3 linked regions of the Lytechinus pictus genome follow. The protein of the gene in region 1 interacts with the protein of each later gene in a pairwise test. Links are inferred from orthologs where the notes say so. Each region holds a gene or a part of one and is shown in the gene's direction. Other genes may lie near its edges.

Evidence for each region.
Region 2: the proteins of peroxisomal targeting signal 1 receptor-like (region 1) and acyl-coenzyme A thioesterase 8-like interact in binary tests that used the Homo sapiens proteins (3 or more experiments, as listed by UniProt). The link is inferred for Lytechinus pictus from reciprocal best matches to the Homo sapiens genes PEX5 and ACOT8.
Region 3: the proteins of peroxisomal targeting signal 1 receptor-like (region 1) and delta(3,5)-Delta(2,4)-dienoyl-CoA isomerase, mitochondrial-like interact in a two-hybrid assay, tested with the Homo sapiens proteins (2 studies listed by BioGRID and IntAct, with this or other methods). The link is inferred for Lytechinus pictus from reciprocal best matches to the Homo sapiens genes PEX5 and ECH1.

Annotation. Positions count from the first base shown.
Region 1 is NC_087258.1:5,593,547-5,603,404, reverse strand, and holds the start of peroxisomal targeting signal 1 receptor-like, read left to right. Parts: upstream 1-4,856; 5' UTR 4,857-4,949; intron 4,950-5,165; exon of another isoform or gene 5,166-5,468; intron 5,469-6,426; 5' UTR 6,427-6,446; coding exon 6,447-6,620; intron 6,621-7,321; coding exon 7,322-7,448; intron 7,449-8,921; coding exon 8,922-9,062; intron 9,063-9,858.
Region 2 is NC_087246.1:25,013,694-25,024,372, reverse strand, and holds the start of acyl-coenzyme A thioesterase 8-like, read left to right. Parts: upstream 1-6,497; 5' UTR 6,498-6,779; coding exon 6,780-6,991; exon of another isoform or gene 6,992-6,993; intron 6,994-8,675; coding exon 8,676-8,818; intron 8,819-10,062; coding exon 10,063-10,288; intron 10,289-10,679. Other genes in the region: MTOR-associated protein MEAK7-like, read right to left, coding at 737-869, 3,050-3,271, 3,688-3,885. UniProt on the Homo sapiens protein: Catalyzes the hydrolysis of acyl-CoAs into free fatty acids and coenzyme A (CoASH), regulating their respective intracellular levels. Displays no strong substrate specificity with respect to the carboxylic acid moiety of Acyl-CoAs.
Region 3 is NC_087251.1:23,743,200-23,753,850, reverse strand, and holds the start of delta(3,5)-Delta(2,4)-dienoyl-CoA isomerase, mitochondrial-like, read left to right. Parts: upstream 1-6,734; 5' UTR 6,735-7,132; coding exon 7,133-7,184; intron 7,185-10,331; coding exon 10,332-10,494; intron 10,495-10,651. Other genes in the region: adenosine 3'-phospho 5'-phosphosulfate transporter 1-like, read right to left, coding at 273-1,268, 2,322-2,431, 3,760-4,027. UniProt on the Homo sapiens protein: Isomerization of 3-trans,5-cis-dienoyl-CoA to 2-trans,4-trans-dienoyl-CoA.

The DNA of each region.
Region 1 (9,858 bases):
CACAAAATTGGATTGTTATAAAAATGTAAAGAGAAAAATTTCTTGCTCGTTTCGCTCGCTCGCAACTTATAGATACTATGTGATGCGACATATCTAGCCCCCTCAAAATTTTCGGCTCATTGCGCCACTGTAGATAAGTCATTGTCCCCCTTTGTTTTGAGATAGTGCCCTTTCGAAAGAAAAGGTGCCCTTTTTCATTATGCCCCCCCCCCCACACTTTCAACTTCGCTCTGCCGCCCCTGAATATACTTGGGATCTAAAGTGTGATTCAAACCAGGTAGAGCGAGCCGACGTGAGAAATCCGTAAGTCCAGGGGGAAAATACGATACAAATTACAAAAATAACGCTTTCCATAATATTATAATTTCAAATCTCTTTTAAGTACCTTTCTTATCTAAGCTATATACATGTGGGGTATTCACTTTTACATTTATATTGCATGGGGGTTTAAGACCGGCCATTGTTTCCTCTGCCATTTATACCTCTACCATTACTACTCCTGCTATTTTTACCTCTGCCAGTTTTACACCGAACCGACATATTTGCATTTTATTTGATTTATTCTATAGTATATGAAATATACCGTATATATATATATATTTAATGTTTAATGTTTAATGTCACATCAATATAATTACTTATAAAATTTGCAATGAATTTGTCTGAATTGAGTGATTGGGTCATTACATATTTGGTAGGTAGACTTTGGTTAGATAGTTTAGATAAATTAGATCCAATTCCAAAAAGATATGATTAATTGCCTTTCCAAAAGATGTGAACATGGGCCCGTAACACAAAACTTAGCAATGATCGTAGAACATTTTCTACGATTAATTCCATTGACTACAATGTACAATCAATTGTAAAAATTGAGTGTACGATTAATCGCTAACCTTTGTGTTACGGGACCCAGGATTCGAACCTCGAACAGTCGACTGCACTTCCCCACAGTCATACCTGGGATTAAGGCACATGCCACATCATAAAGTTACTAACGTTTTAAAACAAAAGAAAATAGCTTTTTCATCATTGGGACAAATATTCACAGATTTATGACATGCAAAGCGTTCCCGGATGGTTTGCACGTACAGATGCTTATCTTTATTTCCTACCTTTAACATGCACTTGTCACCCTTTTACTTGTTAGATCTTTCTCCTTTTTATCCAGATCGGTTTTTTTTGGGGGGGATGCTGGTCCTTTCTTTTAGAATGATACAAAAGTTTTAATTGGTTCGTGTGTTATGCTACAGTCACACAGATGAAACGGAATCCTGATCGATAAACGTTATTACTATTGGTCGGTTTGGAGTCGGTTTTATTGGTGTGATTGTAGCGTTAAAAAGCTCACACGACCGACATGATAATCGTTGAATCACTGCAACAACAATAATAATTACACGAGGGAGGAGAATTATAGGAGTTCATCAAGGTTTATCACTCAACGGTGTTATTCAGCAGTAAATCAGTTTTGTGGACTGTTTGTTTGTGAAGATGTTTTTCGAAAAATGGGTCAGCCGGATTCTGACGATCTAGAGAGATGGATAGGTCTGGAAAGGGAGAGTAAGAAAGAGGTTGCAGGAGAGTGCCCTGGGAAAGATTTTTTTGGCTGGGGGTGCTGAAGTAAGCCTAAATTCAGGGGCGGATCCAGCTTTTGCCAATAGGGGGAGGCATTAGCGTACCTAAGGGGGGGGGGCGGCAGACTGCCCCCCTGACGAGTCACAACACTTGCAAGGAACGTATCCCTGCCCCCCTGATGAGTTAGTCCCTGACTGGTGCTAAATAAATGTCCTTTACTTGTGGTTGAAGACCTTTTTTTTTTGCTTGTCAATTTTTTTTCTGGTGCGAAATGTCCTTTACTTGCGGGTGAAGACTTTTTTTTTTTGCTTGTCAAATTTTTTGGCGGACGAATTTGCCCCCCCCCCCTTTGGAAAATCCTAGGTACGCCACTGGGGGAGGGCTAAAAAAATCACCCATATTTTCCTCGATCTGCCGCTCAAAATCGACTTTTGTTTGTTTCTTTGAAGTGGTATTCGTAACAGTCACTTCTTATAAAACAATTTGTTTTGGGGAAATTTAATGTATTTTGTCCTGAAAATTGAACATTCTTGGAAATTTTTGTAATCCCGAACAAGATGCGTATGTAACTGATCGAAAAAATGACCTGTTAAGGACTGTTTGTAGTTAGCCATAAAGACAATACATATTTCAACTGTGAAATAAAGCGAGTGCGAAGCGCGAGCTGAAAATCTTTGACATTTCGACCTAAAAAATGAACATTCTAAGCAGTTTTTGTAATCATGAACAGGATAGGTATATAACTAAACAATGCGAGCGGAAAAAGTTTAGACCTTCAAACGGGTCACTCTATTCATGATGTTTTGTAAATCATGAAAAGGATGGGTAATTGGGTATCATACACTAATAATGTGAGCAGAAGTTTTTTGATAAGGTCTATTCTAACATGAAACTGGATAATTCAAGCATGTTTTAAATAAAGAACAAGCTGCGTATCTCAATAAACATGCGTGCGTGTGTTTAAGATTTATACCTAGTATCTGGGCATTCTAAATATATTTTTTATCATCAAAATCAATAATGCGAGCGCGAAGCGCGAAGCGCGAGCTGAAAATATTTGATATTCCGATCTGAAAATGGTCTTTAAGCACTAATTCAAGCACAGTAAGAAAACTGTGAAGTGGATAATTATGGATCGCACTAAATAAATGATGCGAGCGCTGAGCGTAAGCTATATTTTCATTATCATTTTGACCTAGGACCGGAACATTCTGAGGACATATTGTCATCATATGAAAATGATGACTGTCTTCCCTTTTCTCTACCTTAGCGCAAGATATTCCATTCTGAAAGAAGGACAATTTGATTATTAGGAATTCATGAAATTTTTTATTTTGTTTATTAATCTAATAAGCCTAATGACAGCTCGATATTTGTTGATATTAAGGCCTAAAAACTGGACATTTCAAGCACTTTTTAATTATGAATAGGGTGCATGTAGAGCAGGGGCGTCGATCCATTTTTCAGATTGGGGTGGCAAAATCATGACTCAACTTTTCAAAGGCGCTCGATCACACAAAACAAACAAACTCACCTACACACAAACACACACACATAGGCATGTATATATATATACATATATATATATATATATGTTTATATATATATATATACATACATATATATGACTCGTGAGAAAGAGACACATATCTCACCAACAAATTAATGCGAGCGCGAAGCGCGAGCTGAATTTTTTTAGTATACTGAACTGAAAACAGGAAAAAGGTACCCGTTTAGGATTGTTTGTAGTAAATCATGAGGAGGATCTTACTACACAGATAATGCGCGTGCCGAGAGCGAGCTGAATTTTTTTTTATATTCTGACCTGAAAGCTTGATATTCTAAGCATTTTGGTACGATTAAGATTGGTGTCTCAAATAACAATAGATACGAGCGCGAAACGCAAGCTGAAAAATTTGATATTTCGATCTGAAAAAATTGACAGTTTAATGGACGTTTTTGATAAAAAAAACAAGATATATATACCCAACAAAAGATTATTGCAAATCGAAGCGGGGGTTCTTTTGAGGTTTAGAACTGAAAACGGGACATTCTGTTCACCTATTTAATCATGAAAAGTATGGGTTTTTGCTACAGAAATGATGCGAGCGCGAAGCGCGAGCTGAAAAGCAGACATTTTGAGCACGATTTTAAATAAGGAACGAGTTGTGTATTTCAATCTTGCTTGCTGATTTCTGTGTAACATTACACTCTTATTTTATTTTTGCACATGAGGAATTATTGGGGGGGGGGGGCAAAACAATATATGTTTGCCCCCCAATATTTTCATTGGTGGGGCGATCGCCCCCCTACCCCCCCCCCCCCCAGGATCGACGCCTCTGAAGTAGAGTTATACATTACTTACCAATCAAAATGTGAGCGCGCAACGCTGGCTGATAGGTTTTGACAATCAAACCTGAAAATATATTTTTGAGAACTTTATGGAAAACACGAAGAGATAAGGTACTTTACAAATCAAATAATGCAAGCGCTGCGCGTGAGCTCAAAATGTTGATACATATGGTAGATACTGAAAATCAAACAAAATAATGAAAGCTCAATGTCGGAGCTGAAATACTTCAAAACTTGATATTTTAAGCTCCATATCAGCCTATCAGCAAGAATGTTATTATTTCATCAAACATCATGCAGTGCGATCGAGAGATCGAAAATTTTATAGTGCCTGATTATTTTATATTTATGTTGTTTTATAATAAAGAAGTGGACTGCACCTGCAAAAAAAAATCAATTTCGAGCGGCTGATCGGAAAATATTGGGTGAAAATAATTTCGGGCCTAATCCCCTACTGGCGCGAAAACTGGATCTGCCCCTGTGGTTGTCGCCATCCCAGCCCCCCCCCCCCCTCATTAAAAAGCAATGTCCCCCCAGGAAAAAAAAAGCTAGCTACGCCACTGTATATTATGGGCCACGCATCGGGATAAATATTCTAGACAGGGCCCTGATCGGCCCTGAACCCTTCGGGCCGCAGCGACGTACACCCCTTCTCGATCTATTTTTGTTTTATTTTTAAAACAATTAGTGCACACCGAGTTACCAATATTGCATATACGGTAGCATTTCCATTTATTTGAAAGCAGGATAAAAGAGCATTGTATATTAAATGCCTTGCTCACGGGCATAGGTGCCGCGGCCGGGGATCGAACCCCGGACTTTCCATGTACAGCCAGGCTCCTTAGACCACTCGGCCACGGCCACGGCACCTCCCTTCTCGATCTACAATGTATGGCCGCGGCGCCCGATCCGATCCGGATCCGACATCCATTCGGCAATTGCGTAACGGAGACTTGGATTAACTTTTGATGAAACTCAGAGGACAGCCTTCGGCTTCGTCACATTATTCCTATCATTTATCGGTAAGCAATCCGTAGCTTTTTTTTAACGTGGATTAACAATTTCGAGGTTTTTGACGTCGACTTTTTTGTCTGACCGACCTGGCTTGATCATGTTGATCATTGATGCAAGACGGATTTTTGCGTATTATGGCGTAGCCGTAGAATCTTCAATCTAGGCCTATCTATGTAGCTGCACTATTGTCCCACACGAATATATCGGTGTCTGTAATGTAAGTTAGTTGTGTGAGTGGTATGGTGATGTGAGTGTGACCTAATTCGCGCGTAACCTAATTTTGCGCACGGTCAAATATCTCATTATCTAATTAGTATCTTGAAAAACTGATATCACCAACAGAAAGAGCGACCCAAAATTACTTAGTATGGTAATTTTTTTTAAGGTAAGGTCTCAAATTGTGAAAATATTGGCAAAACATCAGCAAATTTTGTTTATTGTTACCTTTTGCGTCCGTTCCGAGAAAATCTGATATTCTCGACAAGCATCAAGAAATCGCCAGTTTGCAAGCAGAGGTCTCCAAATAAGTAAGTAAAATGTGATACCAACCGAATTTATGGCATTTTAACCTCCATCTGATATAATTTAATTATCTTATCTTTGTCTGCTTTATTTCTTTTCTAAAGCTTTGCAAAACGATCGTGTGCAAATTAAGGTCACACCTTTTTATGACACTTTTCAGCCGAGCGCGCACTAGTCGATCGCCATGGAATTTTGAGAACACTATATGAGCGAAACCATGGACTTACATTATAATTCCGTCAAGTGAATTTGACTTTGGGATCATGCCTTCCATTTGGTATTTGGATTTGGATTAATTTTGTGTGACAGTGTGAGAAATTTTTGATTGAAAATCAAATGATAATTGTTAAAATGTGCGCAAATTATGGTCACCCCATCATACCTGGTAGTGGTATGTAGGTAGCCTAGGGCCTGGAGGCTTCTGGAGAGTAAAAAAGTATCAACTGTACGTAGGCTACCTCGAGCGAAGTTCGTGCAGGCTCCACTTCACTACCGCTACACTACGGTCTACGCTTCACCTACCCGAACTTCGAGACCGTGAACTCGATCTGATATTCCGAGTGACAAAGGTGGGATTTTATGGGGGGAAATATAAAATTCATGCAACATCACGATCTTTAAAAACAAATAAAACTAATATTCGTACTTTACACAAAGTTTCACTTCTTTTCCATGCTTCTATCAGTCTCAAAATTGGTGATTTAGAGCCAACATGAAGTTCCTCACACGTATAAATAATTTGCTGCCGATTTCAAAACCTGAACTTTTTAGAATCAAAATCTATTATTTTGAATGGATTTTTATATAATTTTAGAAAAAAAAATTGCCATATCCCCTTTCATTTTCTTTCTATTCTTCATTTTCTTGTTTGTGGAGCTTTTTTTTTTTGGGGGGGGGCGGACCTCAAAATCCTCCATCTATACACCAGTGATGAATAGTAATTCATTGTACTTTCCTCCACAGTAAGAAACTCATCTGTCAACATGGCAATGAGAGATCTTGTTGACGGGGAATGTGGTACGGCCAACCCCTTGATGCGTTTAACGTCTCACTTCACCCAAGACAAGTCTCTGCATCAGGAGGGTCTCCAGCATCTCCCAGGGCCAGGTGGGTTTGTGCAGGAGGCAAGACCCTTCCTTGAAGCTCCTGACCAAGAGGTAAGTGGCTATTCACACCTGGGTCCCAGGGGGAAAAAATACACAGGCAGGGGGTGATTTTGCCCTGAAATGCTCAAAAAGCACCCTGGAAATTCCCCATTTATTGCAATGTTAAAGCTTATTAGCCAATGTTACAGATTTAGGGGATAAGTTGTGAAAAGTAGCCCCAGAAAATAAAGATTTAATTATTTTGCTGGCACTGGATCATGTTCCATAAATACTTTTTGTAATAATGAAAACTAATATCAGCCAATCAAATTGAATGATTTTGGTTGTTCCGAAATTTATAACAACTTTATGAAACGGCCGTGGACTTAAAAAGCAGTGCATGCTGATGTATTTATACAGTACAATACCATTATCTACATGTATTTTATGTCAACCTTCCTAGGTATTAAAATTGATAGGTATAAGTTGTATTTTTTAATTTTGAGTGCACACATGTGCATTGAAATGGTTTTGCAAATTGTATTTCTAAAAATTATTTCATAGCCCTCACCTGTTTTACATGTACATCCACTGTGGATGAACTTTGTCTAACCTTTCCTCTATTTTGCATAAGGGCTTTAAAGAAGTGTGAAAAAAGGAGAGAGAAAAAAACATCGACTACAACCCCCCCCCCCCCCCTCCAGAAAACCAATGCTAATGGTCCTTCTGTCAAACACTAATTCTAATATAAAATCTTCATATTTGATGTTCAGTTGGTCAATGAGTTCCTGTCTGATCAGCATCGCCATGCCGGTCCACCTCAGACGTTCCGTATGGATGCCCTTCTTCAAGAAATGCAGGAGATTGAAGGCTTGCATCACCGCCAAGCCCTAGCCCAAGGTATGAATGGGTGACCTGATAGTTGATCATGCAAGACTTTTCTTGTCTGAATGATCCATTTTGTTGATACATGTAGTTCTAATCTGGGCATAAGGTTCATTTGAACAATGAATTGAAAATTAAGAAAATATGTCCTGTCTGAATGAATCATGTCATATACCCTTTTTACACACGCTAAAATTTCCTTAACCCCGTACTATAGGTGGGGCTAAATTGCCATTTAGCCCCACCTATAGTACGGGGTTAAGCTTAGCCCACTTTCTTTTTACACAGCATTTTTGCAAAGTGGGCTAACCCCACCTTTAGTACGGGATTATTTGGCCCTGCAAAAAAGCAGGGTTATCCCAGCAATTGCGGTGCTAAGAGCGATAGTACGGGGTTAAGATCGCTAGTGTAAAACGAAAGTGGGCTAAGCTTAACCCCGTACTATAGGTGGGGCTAAATGGCAATTTGGCCCCACCTATAGTACGGGGTTAAGGAAATTGTAGCGTGTGTAAAATGGTACGAGTGAAGTACTTGTACTACGAATGATCGACAAAAACCACTAGTCCGGGGTTAGCGAGTTTCGTGTGTGAAAAGCAAGCATTCCTTATCCGGGGTTAGCAATAACAATTTGGCATGTGTAAAAAGGAAAAAAAATAGTACGGGGTTAAGGATAGTACGGGGTTAGCGATAGTCCGGGGTTAAGAAAATCCTGTGTAAAAAGGGTAATAGATATAATCTGAGTATGTGCAGATCAGGGTTACATTTATTTAACAATAACTTGAAAATAAGAAAACTTGTCCTGTCTGAATGGCCAGTTCATAGATGACATCTGAGCATGTGGAAATATGGGTCATTTTAAGACTAACTTGAATATAAGGAAAACTTATCCTGTCTGAATGAGCCAGTTTATGGATAAAATCTGAGCCTTTGTAGAAACAAAGTTTGAACAAAGTTCTTGAAAATAAAGACAATTGTCTCCTGTCTGAATGACATGTTTAATCTGAGCATGCGTAGATATATACTATATTTAATAGAGATAGTTTAAACAAAACATGAAAATAAAGAAAATTCTCTCTTACAATGTAGCTCGTAAATATAGTCTGAGTATTTGTGTGAATAAGTCACCTCGCGTACTTTACTGAGCGTGTGCAGATATGGTCAGAGGTCACAGAGATGATTACATATATATAATATTGGGTGTGTATATAGTATATCCTTGATGTAGATTTTGACAGCGAGCATTTGAGAATAAATCTAGATTAAAAGCTTCAATTGCAAGAAATACAAATATTAGAGATTAAATGCCTTTATTGCAAGAAAGGGAATAAGAAGTACGGAAAGGAATGAAAATAGGAGATCAATAACAAGTCGAATAAAGAATACAAGTACAATTAACATGTATGCATATGTTTCTGTATGGTGAAAACAGAAAAAAAAAATTATTGGGACAGGTCAAGAAAAAAAAAATCTATCTCATTTTCATCTCAGCCCCAGGGGTAGCAGACCTTGCCTCCAGGGCAGACTGGGCTGCAGAATTTCTTGAGGCAGAACAGAAGAGGGCAGAGGAAATTGTTGATGACACTGATCTCAACTGGACAAAAGATTTCTTGGACTCGCAAAGAGAATCAGGTGAGGCAGAGCTGCCAACCAGTACGTTTTTGGCGTATTTAGTACGTTTTTGCAACCAAAATACAACAGTACAAAATATGACAGTACAAAATCATACTAATTACAAAATAAATCGTAATTTATTGAGAAAAAAATCATCTCTATATGTCTCTTTCATAAAACTTAGTACACAAATATGGTTATTGGATCAGTGTAATTTCATGTAACTTGTTTTTTCTTTTCAATCATTTTGTTAAAACCAGGGTGAGATACATGTATACACATATTTCAATGGTTTTTTTTTTCATCTGCAAGAGCAGTGCGCATTTTAGCTTGCATGCATCTTGAGCACCGCGATGAGCGTGCGCGCCACGCCTTTTATTATGAAATACAGTTTTTTTTATCACAGAATACAATATTTCATTCCCAGAGGTTGGCAGGTCTGGGGCCCGTAACACAAAACTTAGCAATGATCGTAGAACATTTTTCTATTGATTTCTATGATTGATTCCATTGACTATAATGTACAATCAATCGTAAAAATCAAGCGTACGATCAATTGCTAACCTTTGTGTTACGGGACCCAGGTGAGGTCCTCCTGTTCAAGTTTGCAAACAACATAGCAGACCCCTTGGATTATATTCACTCTACATGTCTACTTCTCAGATAGTCAAATACTATATCGGCTAAACCCATGGCCTGTATTCTGAAGTCGGGTTTAACTTAAACTCAGGTTTAAAGTTGTGGTTTAAGTATGGAAAGCCAATTGTTACATACCGTAAGTAACGGTCTATTAACCGCACCTTTTTCTCGGCGG
Region 2 (10,679 bases), on another chromosome or scaffold:
ACTGTACTGTGGGGAAAACAGGACTTGTCGAATAAAACATCCGACAAGTCCTTTCATCAAATGCACCCCAGATTCTCAAATTGGGAAACTGCAGAAGTTACAAAGTGCAGCTGCATGCATTGTAACTTAAACCAGCAAGCACAGTCGCATCATTCCTGTGTTGAAAAGACTTACCTGGTTGCCCCTGAGACTGCTACTACATAGGGCTATTCCATACGTGTCGTTAATTTGATAACAATTATATAATCTCTTGGCTGAATGCTTAAGCAATAAAACTTTCTTTTTTGTCAATGATAAAGTTAAAGCGGGTAGTGATGCGAAAAACTGATAACTAACAAAAAATATTTGAGTACGAGTGAATTAAAGGTGAAAATTTTGTGTCGTACAGGACTCAGAAATGTCCCATACGACACGTAACATTTTCACCCCTAATTCACCAATAGAAAGCATATTTTTGTTAGTTGTCATGACTACCCAGTAGTACTTTAATATTACCACAAAACAAATTGAAGTTCCTTGTTTGTTTGGACAGCAGGTTGAAAAGTCTTGTGAAAATGGCTGATTTTTCTAGCATGGAATCGCCCCATAACAGATTCTTAACAAGCCATGAAATGAATTATGATTAAACTGAACAAAATATTGAGGATGATTGGTGTTTGAAGTTTTGTTGGTGATACCATGAACAATGTACATGCATTTTCACAAATAATATATTTCATTTTGCAGATCCCCTTACCTTCATCCATGCCCTGTAAAGTGAATTGCACAAATCTTTGTTTGGAGTCAGCATCAGCCTTAATATTCCAACCTCCCATCTTATCCGCTGCCTTCAATGCTTTCTCATAGGATGATAAGATATCTGTGATGAACTGAAATAAAATAAGAAAATTACATACAAAATATTCTATTTAGAACAGGTTTTAATCATTCTGATATCAATAAACATCTTTTATTTTCTTCTTCATTAATCAAATTAACCATTAAAAATTTCAACCCATTCTAAATAAGAAGATACTGCAATTTGTGATAAAGTCATTATATATATATATTTTTAAATATGCAACTATAAACAGAATATACATGAAGGACAACAATCATCTACTTAAAGGGGTACTCCAGGCTGAAAATATTTATATGATTATATCCTATATAGATAAGAGTAAAATTCAGGAGCAAAGTGATAAAAATTTCATCAAAATCTGATAATAAATGACAAATTTATTGAATTTCAAAGTTCAATATTTTGTAAAAACAGTTTTATGCACGCCGTCATGAATATTCTTTAGTTTGGCTGATGATGTCACATCCCCACTTTCCCTTTTAAGTTATTACATGAAATCATAGTTGTTTAATTTTTCATACGTGTGTAAATGATTTGTCTCCCTTAAAATGAAATAGGTTGCAGCAATGAATATCCAATGCACTAAAGTCAGTTGCCAATCCAATTTTTTTAGTTCTTGGAAGAAAAAATTTGAATAAACCTAATTTCATATAATAAAATACAAAAGAACAATTGAGGATATGACATCATCAGCTTGCTCATTGCATAGTCATGAAGACATAGAACTGTTTCACTGGAATCATGCAAATATGTAAAAAGCCATAGTTTTGTTATTCCTTGTCCGATTTTGATCAAATTTTTAATATTTTGTTTGTCTGATTTTTCTTTATCTTTTCAAATCATATCATTTTCAGCCTGGAGTACCCCTTTAATATGAAATTCATATCTCCGATCATCAGATCTTTTTAATTGCATTTTTTGGTCTCCTTTATGTTTTCACAGAATCATAGGCATGCACTGTCTTTCCCAGCCTAGAAACCATCACTACTCAAGCCATATTCAGCTCATCTCATCTGGTTTACAGTCCTTTTCAGAACTTCACTCACTTTCAAGAAAAGAATTCCTCTAAATTCCTCTTTTCATCCTTTCTCGTCTTTCCATCTCAATATTTCTGCCTGTATTTCCTTTTCCTTCTTCATATTAAACATGGTGAACCGTAAACCCTCTCCACGTCATAAATTCTACCATGCAAACCTACAAAGATCAAGCCTACAAAGTTTTCCTTTATTGTCTACCTCAACGAAAAGCTTCAGAATGTAACCATGGATGCCCCCGCCCAAAAAAAAAAATAAATAAATAAATAAATAAAACAAAAAAAATAATGAAATTAAAAGATCATCATCAGGGTGTGCATTTTGTGACAGAAAAAAATGTATTAATTTAGAAATAAATAACTTGCAAAGTGCTCTAACAAACAATTATAAGACAGATAAAATTAGGTTAAAGGAAAAGAAAAAACAAGGAAACTGAAAACAAGAATGTGATACATGCATAGTAAGATGTGCTCTCTGAACAGTTTTGAAAGATTCAAGAGATATTAAGGAATGGTTATTCCTAAGAGTAGGAGCACTGACAATAACAGCAAGGTGATCATGGCAAGTAGAAATACAGGTAAAGATAACTTGTTGTATTGAATTGGAACTGTATGTACAAAGTTTGTTGATTACCGTAATCCGGCCTATACAATACCGGCTGGATCAGCAATCTAGGAGGCATTGAGGAGTAAAATTTGAAGAGGCACAAGTTTTGGATACTGTGCATATCACTTTGCAAATAAGATCATTTTCAAATAGTGATTATATTGGGAATATACTTGCCATATGATCAAATAGGTAAGATGTAAAGGAAATTTGATGAAAATTATGTTGACATAGAGATCCATACACGTCACGTGTAGAAATCTGAGATTGCAAGACATTACTGGAAACAATATTCTGACAAGGGCAAGACTATATTTGATTATAAAAGTGACAAGAATAAGAAAAACTGTAACAAAACTCGCAACACACTATAAATCATATATTACAGGTACAATAAAAAAAATTGGTGAAAATGGACAATGCAAATCACTCAAATATATAAGAAAGGGAATCAGTCCCAAACATAATCAAAATATAAAACACATCCGGACTTTGGTAATCATAAAAATCCATAAAAAGCAAAATTCAATGACCTAAGGTCAAAACAAATAATGTAATATTTACTGACCTTTGAGAGATGTTCTTTTGTTATCCTGTCAGCCATGTTGGCAGCTAGTCTGCACACCATCAGACTTGTTTCTTCCATAGTTCCCTTAAGTAGCTTGGCGAGGGCGATCACGAAAGCTTCTTGAGAGATGGATTTTATTGAGGAGATGACCCCTTGGACTTGAAGCATCTCATTGTATAGACGCTCAGTTGTCGACTCAGATAGGATCTCACCTAAACAACTCTAGTGAAGAAAACAAGTCACCGTTAAAACGCAATTAAATTTGAAAGTGTTAAAAAGCAAACAATATTTCAAAAACCATCAACCTTTATTTTTATACAATTGATTACTTGGATATGCTTTATGATAAAATCAATTTTTTTTTTTAAATCTGTTAAATTATTCTGACTCATTAATTAAAAAAATTTGAAGCATACACCAAAAAAAAAAAGGTCTACAAAAATTCATAAATTTTTCCTCTCATTCACATTCTTTTGATAGCATCTACCTTTCCCAGCAATAAACCCCAAGAACTAGGTCTATACTATCGTGATTTATATTCCACCTTTTGATTAATTTTACTTCATTTTTCATCCAAAATTAATTCTTGTTAGTTATAATTGTAGTGCTGATGTCAATGAATAAGGTATTTGTTTTACCATGAACTGTTCTTTGGAGAAAGTTGCTTGACCCTGCCCATCAGTTTGCTGTGGGTTGCTCCGACATATTCTCTCAAAAACAGTTTGCAGTTCTTCCTGTTCTTCAGGTGAGAAGAGAGATCGATAAGTCTGGTATTCCGCTCTCATCCCAGTTTCCTGTGAACTCCTGGACTTCTCAGCACTCTCAGACTGTCCCATCTTTAAATATTTTGACCCCCCTGTGGCCAAGTCAAATGGAAAGAAGAAACAATATTGTAAAGATTGCACAGCAGATTAACATCAGGGCCCCATCTTACAAAGAGTTACGATTGATCCGATCAATCTCTTAAAGTTTATGGAAATCCATCAATGTCATCATTTTTTCTTTAGGAAATTTGCACAATGTCCTTTGTAAACAAAGAGAAGCATACTGAATTGTCAAAAAAACTGAATGTATGAATGATATTTCTCGAAAATATTTTGAACAAATACGTAATTTTAGATGTTGACGTTGCTGGCTTTCCATAGTTGCGGTTGATCAGATCAATCGTAACTCTTTGTAAGACAGGGCCAAGAAGAAACATGATAATAATAATAACAAAATGCTTATATAACACTACCGAGTACTCTTACAAGATCACTCCATGAAGATACGTATGTAGATCTCTAACAAACTGCCGGTGATTCTGTGAATGGTAGACTATTCAGTATACACCAATTTTGTTTGGTTCATCATGCCTTGTGTACATGTAAGTAGTGTCTTGTTACTCATATCAAGCACCCTTCTTTATATTACACACAGGGGTGGATCCAGGATTTGTTTAAAGGAAGGGGCATACAATATCCCAAGGAAAAATTTGACAAGCAAAAAAAGGGGAAAAAAGGGTTTCAACCTAAAATTAAGGGGATTTCATCCACAATAAAATTTGACAAGCAAGAAAAAAAAAGGTTTTCACTTTCAAAGGGGGGGGGCATACTTCTTTTTTAATGGCATTTTTACATTACAAATTTAAATTGTGCCTCTCAAAAGGGGGGGGGGGGACGGGCCGACTGCTCCCCCCTCCCCCTGGATCCGCCAGTGATCACACGGGTAGATATTTAACAAGGTTACTTGCTGGATATATGGGTACCACTTTATGCATGTATCTAACACACTTGAAACAGAGAAAAATACCTGCAAGGTCAAGGGCTAAAACCCAACAGGGGAATTATATTTAAAGGAGGAGTTCACTCTGTCAGTTTTTTTTAACAAAAGCAAGAGACAAAAATGCATGCAAATCCTTTGAAAACAGCAGCATTTTGAAAATGAAGTGAAATAAAGGATAACAAATTTGTAACAAAATGAAATTAAAATTTCTTCATATAAATAGATTCTAAGTCTATATCATTGATATTATCTGAATGCCTTTAAGAAGTCCAAGCTATCGAATCATCATTTCAAAGTACTAGGTATCATAGAACTTTGACTACACATGTACTTGGTGCGGGGCGGTGATGAGCGATAGTATGAATAGACAGGAATAACCGTTGTTTCTGGGGATTTATTTAACAATTTCTGACATTTTACTATAATCCCCATGGATACTAATTGGAAAGCCTTGATAAAAGCCTTACTATTACAAACAACACACTGGGCTGCCAGTTTTTCATCTCCAGAGAATAAGTTTAAAAACTAAGAAACAAAATACCGGTAACATTATACATATATTTTTTCAGTATTTGATCAAATATTCAGTAACATCACAAGAAAGCGTGTAAACTAAGCAAAAATGTGGGCCATTGTTTAAACTATTGTTCCATTAATAGACCTAGTAAAATTCTAAAAATCTAGATGAATTTTTTCCACCAAATTGGTGGAAGGTTTTATCAATGGGGCTCAGGTTTACTGTTAGTGAATGGGAATGACAGTAAAATGTCAGAAATTGTCGAATAAATCCCCAGAAACGATGGTTATTCCTGTCTATAGTATGAAGAACTGTAGATTATCATCATCACCATTATTGTTATCATCATCAATATCAATGTTTTTTTTTTCATTGTTATTTTTTCAATTCAATTCAAATAAACATCTACTTTCTTCCATTTCATTACATTTTTCGTAAACATCAATTCATACAAAAATCAAATTGTTATGAAAAATGTAAATATGTACATGTTGGGTTTAATGTGCTGCACTCAACCCAGGTGAGGTAAATGGGTACCGGTAGGAAGTAATTCCTTAAAAAGCTGTGTGCGCTATGAACGCCTAGCTTAGCCGGGTAATATAGGAGCGCCTTGAGCACCTAACAAGGTGGATATGTGCGCAATATACATACCCTATATTATTTGAAGAAGAAGGCGTATACCCTAAAAGTAACTTGTAAAAGCTGAGGCTAGGCTTGTGGCAGGATACACCTATAGACAAAAATACAATACATTAAACATTCTTGTTCTATTCCTCTTTCTCCTCTCCTTCTTCAAGTTCTTCTCCTGCATCATCATCATCCTCATTAATCATCATCATCTACGTCATCATCGTTATCATTCATATCACCTTATCCTGCATCATTATGCCCACTTTCATTATCATCTGCCTAATTCTAAATTCACCCATCTCACTCCACATCTCATCATAGCCTAGGTCAAATGATAGGCTTAGATCAAGTGCACATTCGCATTCAAACCGCCTCTTGTCTTGAGTAGGGTCTTACCACTACACCTAGGAGGCCATTACTGTTATTGGCATGTGCAATTACTTATGCACACACGTATAGCGTAGATCTCACAAATCCGTGATATACTAACTTAAATTGCACAGGATCCAAATCCCAGGTAATACCCATTAGCTGCGCATACCGTACCGACACCTGTTCAATCGAAATCATACATGAGTTGAGATGCAGAGCCTATACAATGCATGTACCTCACATTCACAATATCAAGAAAATTGAAGTTCAAAATTACCGAGGGATGCTAGTAAAAGCAGTAGTCTAATCAGCCTTCGAGCGAAAAGGGTTAATTTGTACGATTCAATGTTTTGATTCCGGACACCCGTCGAATCTCGCTAGCGAGCGCTTGTTGTTTTCCGTTCCGGGATAGAGATTGCGTAATCATATCAGCCGGTGTCAATCAAAATGTTGAGAAACGTGAGACGGTTACTAACTCATTTCTCAAGCTTTTCACAAAGCGATAAGATTGTGAACAAGCCAAACTTACTGCCGGTAACTGTTTCTAGTAGAATGGCTGCTTCATCAACAACAACAGATGATCAATCTGAGAATGATTTAAGGAGTGTTCTCGTCAGCACCGTTCTCGATTTGGAGACTTTGGACCCATATCTGTTCAGGTAATTGAAGGTCCCATACATTGTAATTGTTGTTGCGTTTTTTCAAGTATGACTCAGTTGAAATTTGAATGAAACAGCTATGCAAGTCAGTCACTGATGATCGGATTGAAATGATGATGATGATTTATGATGATACGATAATATGCCAACGGCAGTCTGTACTTTACAGGAAGAAGAAGAAGAAGAAGATGATGTCTGATGATGATGATGATGATGATTGATGTCTGATGATGATGATTAATTGATGATGAAGAAGAAGAGGAGACCTATAGTTGTAATAATGATAATGATGAAGATTTCATTTTCTTAGAAATGATTAGTTGTATAAACCAATTGAATGAGCATTTCATTCATGCTCCAAAGGCAAAGACATATTGCCATTTTAGTGATATAAGATATAATTTTTTAAAAACAAAATTCTGCTCCTGTTTTGAACCAAATTTAGCAACTGGTGATTAATCTTCTTTATAGTTTCTACCAGTACCATGTTAATATTTATTTCTGAAAGGTCAATCACTGTGCAAAGATCTTGGTATTATAAATATCTGTTGGGAAGCTTGATAAGTTATTCCTCAAAATACAATATGAAATGGAATAAACTATTACTTTATCCAGAGGTTTGAATCACTCCTAGTACCAATGAGGTCCAACATTACATGTATGGACCTCATAGGCGACATCAGTAGTATTTTTGGTTAGAAATCTCTGAGAACAGGATATTTATATATTATATCACAAGTACAAGCTATATTCCTTTCTCTTATTTAAATTATAATTTTATAGTGTAAATGCATCGTTAGCAACAACAAAAAATGAAAGAAATGAAGGGGAACTTACATTTTCACGGCTTTTTCCTGATTTTCTGGGCAGCTGCTCTTCTCTTCTGACTCGCGATCGAAGCTGATATGAAGATCACGTGATTCGCGTTCTCGTCAGCTGATCGGTTGGTTATTCTTTTCGTCAGACGTTAATAATATATATTTTATAATGCTAGCATTCATCGCTAATTTAGGTGAAAGAGATTGAAGTTAAACAGCGCCAGGTCGGAATCATAATTATTTTGGAAGAGTGTATTTATACACTCGATCTCATACCTGACGTAGACGGCGCTATTCAACAAATGCACAATCTTCAATATAAAAAATAAAACAGAAAGAACGCCTTGAACACAGGCCAAAATGCCTAACGATTTCTCCGCGGCATTAACAACTATCGTAAAGGGCGCTCCATTTATCAATAAAGATGGATGCTAAGCTGTCTATGGCGACAAAATTTGCCGCAAATATTTACGAAGAATTGTGAGAAATGGTCTGAAAATGCAACAAAAGAACCGGTGAGTACCGATTAAACATTATTAAAGTTGTAAAACGATTATACATACCTTGTAGATTTAGTTTTTAAGGTGATATTAGTGCTTAGTTCTAAGCTAGGGAGGCCCAAACGCGCGTGAGTGGAGTCCCAGTTTATTAGCACGGGTAAGTATTGGGGTGTCGCCTAGAGTGGTTTGAATGGGATGCAATGGATAAAGCCAGTTAGAGATAAAAATCCCCACATGTATAGTAGGCCTATTCTTCAGTTTCAATTTTTTTCTTTTGACTGTATTGAAATTCTTTGTGACCATGATATACTTTAACATTAAACTGTTTCCCCCAAAATCAAAATGACTTTCTCTTCTAAATGATAGAGCCAAAAACATGTGGCATGCTTATGGACCAGGGAAGAGACTGTTTGGTGGTCAGATCATTGGACAAGCAATGGTAGCTGCTGGGAGGACAGTGAACCCTGAACTATCTATTCATTCGCTTCATTCTTATTTTGTCAAAGCAGGTAATTACTGTGCAATGACTAATTCATTTTATATTGTGCTCTAAACAGGGTTGAGAGCTTAAGATATATATATATATATATATATATAATGTACCCATAACATCTAGAGCAGTTTGTTAAAAATGTAATTTCTTCCTGATTGGAGTGGGTGAATCAAGAAAGCTACAAACAAGAATTGATGAAATATTAATTGGTTTAACCTGAGTGTTCCATCTCATTCTTTGTGACTTCTCCAATATTATGCTCATCAAAGTAGGCCTATATATCATGAAAATCTATTAAAACTAAATTGATTGATTATCATCTGTTCATAGGTAGGCCTACAATGTAGTGGTGATTTGATAATTTCCTTAAAGTTTAATTGTCAGGATTGGAGTCGAGGCTGGGAGTTCATGAGGCCACTAGATAAAACTTTCCCCCACAGCCTTTGTACACATCACTTGCCACCTGGCTAAGGCTAAGACTGGTTAAAGCCAAACAAGTCCACCCCAACAAAAACATAATTTGAATAAAAAGAGGAAAATCCAACAAGCATAACACTGAAATATTCATCAAAATCGGATGTAAAATAAGAAAGTTATGGCATTTTAAAGTTTTGCTTAATTTCACAAAACAGTTTAATATGCACATCCTGGTCGGTGTGCAAACGAGGAGACTGATGACATCATTCACTCAACTATTTCTTTTTTGTATTATATGAAATATGAAATATTCTAATTTTCTTCTCATTGTCAAGTGAAACAATGATTAATTCCTCCCTGAACATGTGGAATTAGGATTGTTTAATACTATGTGGTTCAGTCAAGTTGGTCCTTATTGTCAAATCTGTAAAAACTGAAATATTGTATACCGGTAATTCAAACAATAAAAAAAACAAAAAAAAAGAAATAGTGAGTGAGGGACATTGACTGTCTCATTTGCATGTCACTGAGTTATGCATGTCACTGTTTTGTGAAAAATAAGCGAAACTTTAAAATGACATAACTTTCTTATTTTACATCCGATTTTTATGAAATTTTCGGCGTTAAGCTATTTTGATTTTTCTTTTTTTTCAAATCAACATTTTTCTGGGGTGGACTTTACCTTTAAATTTGGTTTGGAGGCTGACTTTGAGTCTGTCCCAGTTAGTTTGTAATAAATATGAAAAACATCTGACAGTAAACTGCCGGGTCTCTGTAGAAATTAGAAAATTCGGTCATGAAAAGGTTAGGTCATCTTGTTTTTTTTTTCTCATAATATCTCAGGAGATTCAACCTTACCCGTTCTTTATCGGGTGGAGAACCAGCGTGATGGACACAGCTTCTGCACACGCTCGGTAGAAGCCATTCAGAACGGTCGTATCATTCTCACAATGATGGCATCTTATCATAGGTTCGAGGATTCTCCGTTTCATCATCAGTACACCATGCCTGATGTACCCGATCCTGATACCATGACAACAGATATTGAGGAACTCAAACAGTTTGTACAGTAAGTTTTTCTTTAGATCCTTCACTCTTTTGCATCATCTCTTTAGATCACTCTATGCGCATACACATAGTTTCATTCTGGAGAGATATTAATGGTGGATAGTTACTTGATTAGAATTCAAGTTTTCCAAATTCCCCCTTTTTGATGAGCTTCAAATCATCAAATAAGAAATAAATATAAAAAAAAGACATATTTTTCTGTTTGTTATTGAATCATGAAGGTCTTAAGGTTGATGGGGAAGTTGATGACAACCAGCAGAATTTTTCGAATTATAATTTATATTTGTATGATGATGAAGCTATGTTATTTCAAATTGAATTGATTAGCACTTTCATGCTTTCATCACGCAATATTTCTATTGGTATTTATCACATGTTTGTCACATGCTATT
Region 3 (10,651 bases), on another chromosome or scaffold:
GGCTAAATTTCTTTTTTCCAATTAATCAAATGGATTAAATGCAATTTCATTTTCTGGAGGATCTAACATTGCAGTTTCCCCCAAAAGCGTGACTCAATAAATAATTTCGGTGTTTGAGGAGAACTAATCTTTGGTACATGCATTTACAGGGTAATATTTCTGAAAATTTCTTTAAAAAGGAGAGCTTTTATCAGATCATGGCACAAGGTGAGCACTTTAGTCACAGCACAGGCTTACAAATGGTGAGTACGACTAGATCTATGACTGCCTAGTCATGTCTTGGTCGGAGCCAGGGATGATTCTTGAGCAGGGGGAGGTTTGGGCTTCTGCCCAGACTTGCGCTGTCTTGCATATACCCTGAGGAAGAGGGCAATGAATACCACTATGACACCCATGATGCCCTGGAAATTGAGAGGATGGCCATAAATGATGCATGAAAGGAGGATAGCCAGGGCCTGACGGGTGGTCATGATGATGGTGAAGATGACCGCACCAAACTGGGAGATGGTGTAGAAGATAAAGAGCTGTCCAGTGGCTGAGAACAGTGAGAGAAGTCCTACATGAAACATGAAGGTATTGTACTTGAGCATGAAGCCAATTCCCTCAAAGAACCCACCCTGTTCTATAAGAGACCAACTGGTGAACAGGCAGGAAAAGAGGTTGACACCAAACATCATCTGAATACTGGACATACTGTATGTCTTATACAGGTCTGCCTGCCAATTTGAGGTGAAGCTATCAAAGGCCATGTAACCAACCAAGATGATGACCCCTGATAATGTTGTCACAGTTGATCCTTTGTGATCCCCTCCCTGGGACAACAAGAACAGTGCCACACCAAGAGAGATCATCACAGCTGTGATGTACTCGTAGTACTCGTATGTTTTCCCAGATATGACCTTCCCCATCAGCATCACAGGAATGATCTTGGAAGCTTTGGCCAGGACTTGGGTGGGAAAGGTGACAAACTTGAGAGCCTCATACTGGCACCAGCTACTCATGATATTGGACAAAGAGCAGTAGGAGTACTTGTAGAGGGGTGCAGTGTGACGAGGTTGAGCAGTGAAGTTCATGAAAACCAGAGCAGCCATGAAAGCGAGAATGCGGTTCATGAACACTAGGAATTGGGAGTTGGTGAACGTTTCTCCTGGATTATGTGCATCTTTGCCATATTCATGTGCCATTATACGTTCTTGAAGGACTCCCCATGTAAGGTATGACCCTTGCAGGCCAGCTACGCAAAACAGCAGCACAAAACTACGGTTCATCTGGAAATGAATAGAGTATTACACATTACTATAGTCAGAATACTAAAATTTTCATTTTCAAAAAGCAATAAAAAGTGTCCGTCCGGCCGTCCATCCATCCAATGATTAATATCATTTACAGTATTCATTTCAAATTCATATTCCTCAAAAGTTAGAGTAGCATTGACAATATTGTGTAGGTTGAGGGGCAAGATATATATTCATATGAAGGGCAATAGTCTTGAAATCTGGTAACCTGGGCTTAAATAAAATTTGATGTACTATTTAGGCCTAGTCCTATTGCCCTTTGGTAAGTTAAATGTCCTCATTACCGGGGGCCAATAGCAATTAGAGTAGCAACTGAATACTTACTTACTAATCAATTGCTAGTCCTAAATACATGCTTCTAATTTATTGGTTGAAAATAAAAATGTTTGATTTTTAAAGTTGTGACTGATTGCAACTCTTTCTGCTCTCTGATCCATCAGAAAGTGTATGGTCATTGGTCCTCTGATCGTTTACCATTAAAGTAGTCTTTTAATAATCTAAAGTACTGGCTTTTAACAGTCGCTTAATATCTGCATCTTAACCATGAAATATTTCTGACAGCACTCCTCTCGATAGCTGTAAATCTATCTCACCTGCATTTTTTTAAAACTAAACCATTAAATTATAGGTCTGGCAGCAATTGCTGGAAATCAATCATTTACCTTACCGGAATCAAATTCCTATCTAAACAGAAAGCGCAAGAAATAAACCAATATCATCAGTAAACTTTATCAGGTCAATATATGAACTCTTTCATGAACCAAACTGTCATGCAACAAATACAAAACAGTTAAGTAGACCAAAATAGTGACATTAGTGCATTATGGTCACATACAAGGAATGTTGAAAATGTAGTCTGAAGAAAAACTTTTGTCTTTCGCTTGCATTTCATGTGGTAGGAAGTTTAGTTTCAAAAGGTACTTCATTCCCTTTTGATGAAAATGGTCAACAATGTTTTTCTGTGAAGTAATAAATATGGATGTAGTTCCTTTTGGAGCTAAACTTTTTATGTACATATAATATTACCTTTGGTTTCTCAGTCACTGTAGCCTTGCTACCTCCTTCCTCTAAGCTTGCTTTGATTTCGTCTGACCCAGTTACACATGATTTGACAGTATTGTACCAACAGCCATGACCTACACAAAATACATATTTCAGAAAATAAGAGGTTTAAAGAGACCTACTGTAACTGATTAGGACATAGACTCAGAAGAAAGAGGAAAATATCCCAAAGAAATACTACTCTCCTAGGAATTCTTCAGCATGAAAAACAATAGCTACCAATTATTGCATTTATGTCAATTCATCATTAACATCATTGTTGCTGGGATGATGATGATGATCATCATCACCACCACCATCATCATCACCATCACAAACACCATTACATTATCAAAGTTCATAATTTGTACTTCGCATACATGGACAAATAAAGTAGAGCTACTGATATCATTATCATTACCTGCAGCCCTTTAGCTCCCTCTCATTTCAGGTTATTCAGGCAGATAAAAATGCAGATAAAAGCGCAGGGTTGAATACCCAAAAAGGGCAATGTCATGACACATGTTACTAGCTCCGGTTACAGATTCAGAGTAGTAAGCCAGCTTTTTGTTTCAAGCTAATTTGCTTTGCATAAGAATATGGTATATCATAAACCAAACTTATTATAACTTTGACATTTTATTTCAAGTATTTCACGTCATATGCTCCAAAATATATTATTACATAAATTACATGTACATGTAAATCATTGCCTAGATGTCAACTTCACAACAAATGACATTATGCGGATAACTGAATCTGATGTGATATTGTTATCAACGTTGAATCTAACATTTTATTCCTCTAACATTTTTCTCCAAAAGCACCTCAAAGAGCTACTACCTGTATTAACTTAATAAACCCAAAGCCAAAACAATTGTCTTTTTACCGTGAAGTCTTCATTTTTCTTAAAGTAGTACCTGTATCTTCTTATCAAATAAATCAACTCGGTACTATATAGAGTTTCATCTAGTTCTAATTATTACATACATGTAGAGCTCTGATAGTGCTGGTACAATATAAGTTAAATGTCTGTTTCTGTGCTGCCCTAACTTCCTTTCCATATGTACTGGTACAACACAGCCAGCTTTACTCCCTGTAAATGAGAAGTTTTCAGACTCCTTACAGTTCTTCTAATATTGTTGGTAAAAATTAAAAAAAAAATCATTCTAAAGGGCATATACATGAGTTTGTAACTAAAGAAATCTTTTAAAAATAAGATTATTTAGATAGCTTTATTCAATCCCAAAATTTTGTTGCCCAAACATGTAGGCTGACTTCTTAAAAATATTTTTGACAAGGAAAAGGTTGTGATTTTGAAAAGGGGGAGGGGGAGAGGGTGCAAAATTACTTTTTTTTCCTAGGAGTAGTGGGCATAAAAAGGCAGAAATGCCTTTGTCTTTTTATATGCCACTACTTGTACCTGAGGGATCCTCACCTCCCTTTTCCAAGTATCCAGAGCTTCTGACATAGCGAATCACCAGCCAAGCAGGAACAATCACTGACAGGTAGCCAAGAACATTTAGCGCCAATCTGATAAACCAATAGTCCATCCAGCCTTCAGTAGAAGCTTCATCTTCTTCTTTTGCATTTGCTATATGAACACTAGCAAGGCATATGAAGAGGCTTATTAAGATGGCAGCACTGACACAACTTGGCCTAGTATTATTGGGTTGTCTGAAAGCAGCCATTTTCACTTGATTTCTATGGACAAAGGAAATACACACAGGAAGTTATTTATTTCAATAAGTTGAGACTTGATATTCATTGAAAATTAAATTCTAAAAATGTTAACATGATCATCATGATGGGGAACTGCAGGATCCTCATTTTATAGAATCTTGTTCATTATAAGGACTTCTCCATTATACAAATAATATAAAAGTTCAATCACCTGTCTAACACTAATTGAGAGAAATAAAAACTAGTTGATCTTCATTTATTGAAATATATGATTTTATGAAAAGTTGTCACTCTATACTATCAATTACTCTCATCATTGGAATTGTTGTTTTTACAATATTAGTTCTTCCCAAAGTAACACACACAACATACTGTAGGACATCTATAGTGTAATTTAGTGTGTATATGTTATGAGTACATTATTATGCCATTTTTATCCAAAATTTTAATTTTTTTCATCAACATAAAAAAATACAGTTTGTACACAAATATTTTGGAATCTATAGAAATTTTCAAAGTATCAAAATAACAGAAATTTTCTCTACTTCCTATTGATAACCAATTTCTAAAAGCTTCTAAAGGTGCTTTTAAAAATTATTTTATAATATGTAATATGATGACATGCTCCCATTTCACAGAAGCGTGCCTAGAGCTAGCCCGATATGAATCAAGCAAGACACGCACATGTTTTTTTCACAGCCTCTACATCGCCGCTACCATGCATTTCTAATGCTCTGGATTCTATTTTGTATGCAGATAACTCCAGCTTGTTCATGTCCCATAAAAATGTTGAAACTTTACAAAATGTTCTTTAATAATGAATTGAAATATACATCAAACTGGCTTACTGTAAATAAATTAACTTTAAATGCTCGAAAATGTTTTTTTTTTATGGTTTTCACAAATAAAAATAGATCATTACTCAAAGTTGATGTTTATTTAAATGAGATGCCAATTAATGAAGTAGCATTTACTACCTTTTAGGTGTTAATGTCAATCTTGATAATAGGTTAACATGGAATGAGCATGCTGGTGTCATCTGCGGCAAAGTTGCCAAAACATCACTGTCATATAAACTGCACGTTACCGAAGATGATTCATCTTTTATTATATAATACACTGATTTTACCTTATTTGAACTTCTGCAATATAGTCTGGGGTAATAAACACATATTAACATATTTCTTTTACAAAAAAGGACAATGAGAATTAATTATTACTCACTCCTCATATCTGTGTCATTCTGGACCATTGTTTAAAATCTTTGAAAATTCTAAATATAATGTATTTGAACAAAATGAATATTGCAGTTTTAATTTTTTCTTATATTATAAAATATCTTGCCGAATTCCCTCAAAAATTATTTTTTATCAAACACATCTGTACATACTCATTCCACTGAAAATGCTTGAAATATTCATATCCCACAGTGCAATACTTCTCTCTTTAAAAATGGCATATATTATCAAGGACCAATTATTGGAATTCAAAATTCTAATTCAATCCCTTCCCATATTCAATTAGATTTAAGCTCTTCGGTATCTGTTTTTAGAAGGAAATAGTCTACAAAACATTTTAATTGTCAAGTTCATAATCTAAATATAACTTAAACTTATTTCTGGCTCTCTAGCTCTCTCTCTCCTTGCATTGTTAACCCCCTAACGGTGGCTGCACGATAGCAAGCCGTCTGTGTACAAGGAGAAATTAAAAAAAAATTAAAAATGTTAAAAAACTCCTCGAAACAGACGGCTGCCAGCTGTCTAGCCTAGTATCACAACAGACACAAGCCAAGCCTTTTCGGCCATTTTTCCTCCTCATTCATGTCATATCCTTTGTTTGATGAACAATTATGGCAAGTTCCCCCAAGTCTGCGCAGTCCCCCTTGTCTGCGCGATTCTAGTAAAAGAAGATACGCAACGAGACTTTAAACATGCAATACATAGACAGGTATTCATTGAAAAATCCGACTCAAAATGGTGGAAAAATAATAAATTCAGGGCATTTCATGTGACGGCCTCAAAATGCAGCCTTTCTCATCAAAATCCCAGAATCGTGTGCAAAGTGAATGAGTGCGCAGACATGGAGTATCATTTTTTTTTCAATCTGAAAATGACTGCCAGAGGTTTTTTCAAGAAAATCCTATATTTTCTTTCATTTTTTAATGAGAAATTTGGTACACTTACTCTCAATAATATAAGCATGATAAGGAACATTATTTTAAGTTTTTATTATTTTAACTGAAAGATTTTGTGAAATAAGAAGAAATTCATGTTAAATCTCAACTCAAATTGTTACTGTTAGGTGCGCAGACTTGGGGCCCACCTTACTGCGGCAGCCCGAACACAGTGTACTGTGAAAGACGTGTCGAGGTCCCCGGGGCAAGGGCACACCATCATATTTATAGTTGTTTATTCACTGTCTATAAAGTATTTTATGTATCTTGTCTGATTTCTTGAGGAAAAATATAAATTAAACTGATTAAGTTGTGGAAGAAGATTAAGCTTGGACGAAAGCTAGACCTGGAAACTTGGCTGCAGCTTTCTGCATTTTTCCAGTACATCCGGTAATAATAATAAGAAACTGAAAGATTGACTGGCGCGACTATAATATAAACTAAAGAGTAAAGCTAAGTTTATAAACGAAAGCTGATATCATGAAACCGCACTAAAGTAAGCTCGTGGGACTGTTGTTCATGTTGACTGTTCAGCTGCCTTCATGCTTCAGCAGTTCAGCCTTCTCTCGATCTCAGTCTCACTCTCAGCTCGGTGGAATTGGAATCTGAAAACGAAATGTTTAACGTTATAACTATGCAAGAAAAAATGAGGCCTACATAAATATTTATACGTATTGGACATTACCAATTTCCAGATTTTACAGTAGATCTAGATCTTACAGTTACAGTTACAGTTAGAGTGATGTTGACTGTGTCGCCTGGCCTTGTCGGTACCGGTAGCTAGCCGAGCATAGCAAGACACGTCGACGTCAGCTAGCTATCGATATGATACACGGATACCGGGCCCGGTACCGGTACCGGAAAATTTTGTGATCGAGCTAGCCACAGCGGTACGCCTTTTTTATACCACGCCCGCGCCCGTGGACGGCACGAGATCATCATGAATTCTCTCACCAAAGTCATCCTGTCAACAGCCAGGAAAGGGAACTTGAGTAAGATTAATTGAAAATTTCAAGGAAAGAAAATGGCATTAATCTGTGAGATTATTTTAAGTGTTAGCATTCGGGTGGGGGGTTCAACATCAATTCAAAATACGAGTGTAAGATCGACCCAACTCATGAACTGGATCTAGCGAGCACGCAGACCGGTGCTCCCCCGGCTTGTACCGGCGGCACATTTCGAGGCTACATGTAGCTGCTCTTACTAGCTAATTTAGTACGGTGTTGAAATCTGGTTTTGGTGTTATGTGTTGTGATAAAGTAATGGTCAGTCGTGATCATTTTTGGTTGTTTGAGAAAATATTTAATGCATGAGTACGAGTGAACATGAATTGCAGTTTTTAGCGCAGCATTAACATGATTAACGCATTTTAACTTATCAATATATGTAATATGGTTCTCAGAATCAGAATGGGGTTCATGGGAGTCACGCAGGAGAATAGGGGGTTAGCATGCATGGTTAGGGGTGAGATAGTGGGTGAAATAGGTTGATTGGACAAGGGTCAACAGAACATTTAGCCACCCCCTCCCCCCTTCCTGTTGAGATTGAGACTGATTGCTATTACATTATTTACATGTTCGCATAATAAGCCATAAAGTCCAGAGCAGACTGTCAATTTAATAATAAATTCTGAAAATTAGGGCATCAACTTTTACCTATCAATCATTTAATCAACAATTTATTAGTAAATCAAATGCCAATGTGATCAAACATTCACCTTTTTTAATAAATTATTTCATAAATCATCATAATCTGTAAATTTCTTAGTAATCATTCAATGAAAAAAAAAAATTACCCATCAACAACAGTCACTTGGCAGTTAAGTTTTGAATACCATCCAGGAAGAGAGAGAGAGAGAGAGGGGATGGAGATGGTGGTACATGACTTGTAATTTGTAAAAGAACACAAAGAAGAGTAATGCCCTTTTTAACCATGTATTACCCTTTCTCATCCCTTTACTTGCAACAGGTACCATCACATTACTCTAACTCTCATAAACACACTGCTGAGGTCCACAAGAGAAAGTTAAAGGAGAATGAAACTCTTGGAGCAAGTTAGCTTTTGTGAAAGCAGAAAAATCAAAGAATAAGATCAACAAAAGTTTGAGTAAAATAGGACTAGCAATAGAAGAGTTATGAGCATTTGAATGTCGAGATCACTAATGCTATGGAGATCCTCTCATTGGCAATGTGACCAAGATCTTTGATGTCACAGATGAACAACTCTCCCCTTTTGGACACTGAAAATATACCCCAAAACATCTCTTTTTGCTCATTCTAATCATATGACAAACGTTTCATCAATGATATAATTTTGTGAAACCTCTGTACTTGTCCTCTCATATAGAGAACACCTCACCTTGTGATAGACTCTATAAAAGTGAGAATATAAGTGAAATACTACTAAAGTAATGAGGGAGTTGTACGTGTGTGACATCACAGATCTTGGTCGCATTGCCAATGGGAGGTTCTACATGGCATTAGTGATCTCAATATTCAAATGCTCATAACTTTCTTATTATTCATTCAATCTTCCTCAAACTTTCAACAATATGTTTCTTTGATTTTTCTCTTTGATATGGATTCAGCTGGTTTCAAGGGTTTCATTCTCCTTTAAAATGGTACACTATAATTACGATTCCTGTTCACTCATGCATTAAATTTCAATTTAGTAACTCATGAAATTTGCTTAAAAAACCAAAACTTATCTCAATTGATCATTAATTTAGCATGACACCCTTAACTTTTCAAGTTCCAAGGACTAACCTAAAAAATTGGAAGGTTAATTCCCACCCAGCCTAGTCAATCTTAGTCTCTCAGGGGGGTTGAAGTGGAGGGGGGGGGGGGGGGGGGGTAAGAGAGGAAGGGAGGGGTGGCTAAATGTTATGGTGACCTGTATCCTATCAACCTACTACACCTTCTTAAGTCCTATCTCACCCTTTTTCTCCTGACTCTCATGGACAAACTGCAGAGATCCACCTGAAAAAGTAAAAATGCTGCACTAAAAAAGTACAATTCAAGTTCAATCATGGAGTCATGCATTAAATTTCAATATAATAGCTCTTGAAATTTTCTCAAACAACAAACTGGTCACGATTGATCATTAATTCATCACAAACCCTCAACTTTGCAAGTTCCAAAGGATCGCCTCTCAAAAACTGAAAGAAATAGGAAGGCTAATTCCTGCCCAGCCTAATTATCATACCCTTTATTTAAAGGACAAGTCCACCCCAACCATTAGTTGATTTGAATAAAAAGAGAAAATTCCAACAAGCATAACACTGAAAATGTCATCAAAATCGGATGTAAAATAAGAAAGTTATGACATTTTAAAGTTTTGCTTAATTTCACAAAACAGTTATGTGTACATCCTGGTCAGTATGCAAATGAGGAGGCTGATGAAGTCATCCACTCACTATTTCTTTTGTATTTCATTACATGAAATACAAACTATTCTAATTTTCTCATTGTCAAGTGAAACAAAGATTAATTCCTCCCTGAACATGTGGAATTAGCATTGTTTTAATACTTATGGTTCAGTCAAGTTGGTCCTTATTGTCAAATCTGTAAAAAAATGAAATATTGTATAATTCAAACAATAAAAACAAAAGAAATAGTGAGTGATGGACATCATTGACTGTCTCATTTACATGTCACTGAGATGTGCATATAACTATATTGTGAAAAATAAGCGAAACTTTAAAATGTCAACTTATTTTACATCCGATTTTGATGAAATTTTTAACGTTTTGCTCGTTGGATTTTTCTCTATTTATTCAAATCATCCTTTTTCTGGGGTAAACTTGACCTTTAAGTGGGAATTGCTCACTCATGCATGAATAGTTTTCAAACTTTTTGGATTTTGGTGTTGTATGAAAATGAAAGTTTACTCTATTTGCTTTCCATATATTTAGAAATTTTGCCCACAAGTGATATATTTTTTGTATGGCAGCCATTTCAAAAGTGTATGGTTTTTTTAGATGCACTGTATATGATTGTATTTGTATAAGAATTCCCTGTTTCTATTTTGGTAATAGAACTCACCTTCATACTTTGTGCTAATAATTTTATGTAGACTTGACTGTATTTTTTGTTATTGAAAACTTCATTTGAAAATTGTTTCCTTTATTATCATTTCAGCCAAGATCGGCCTTAGAAGAACACTCGCTAGAAGCATGTCTTCCGAAGGGCTGTCAAAATATAATTTTGAGTCACTTGCTGTGACTAATCCGCAAGAGTTCATATACAAGGTTGAGGTGAACAGACCAGAAAAACGTAATGCAATGAACAGAGCATTTTGGAGGTAAGCTTTTTAATAAAATCTTAAAGCGTTTTCATAGAGCATCTGCAGAAATTTTAAAAAGATTTTGCTCTGTATGAGGGTGTCAAAGTTCAATATTGTTCCTTAATTTAATTGTCACAGAAGGAAGTGTCTAATATGAATGGAATTTGTCATTTCA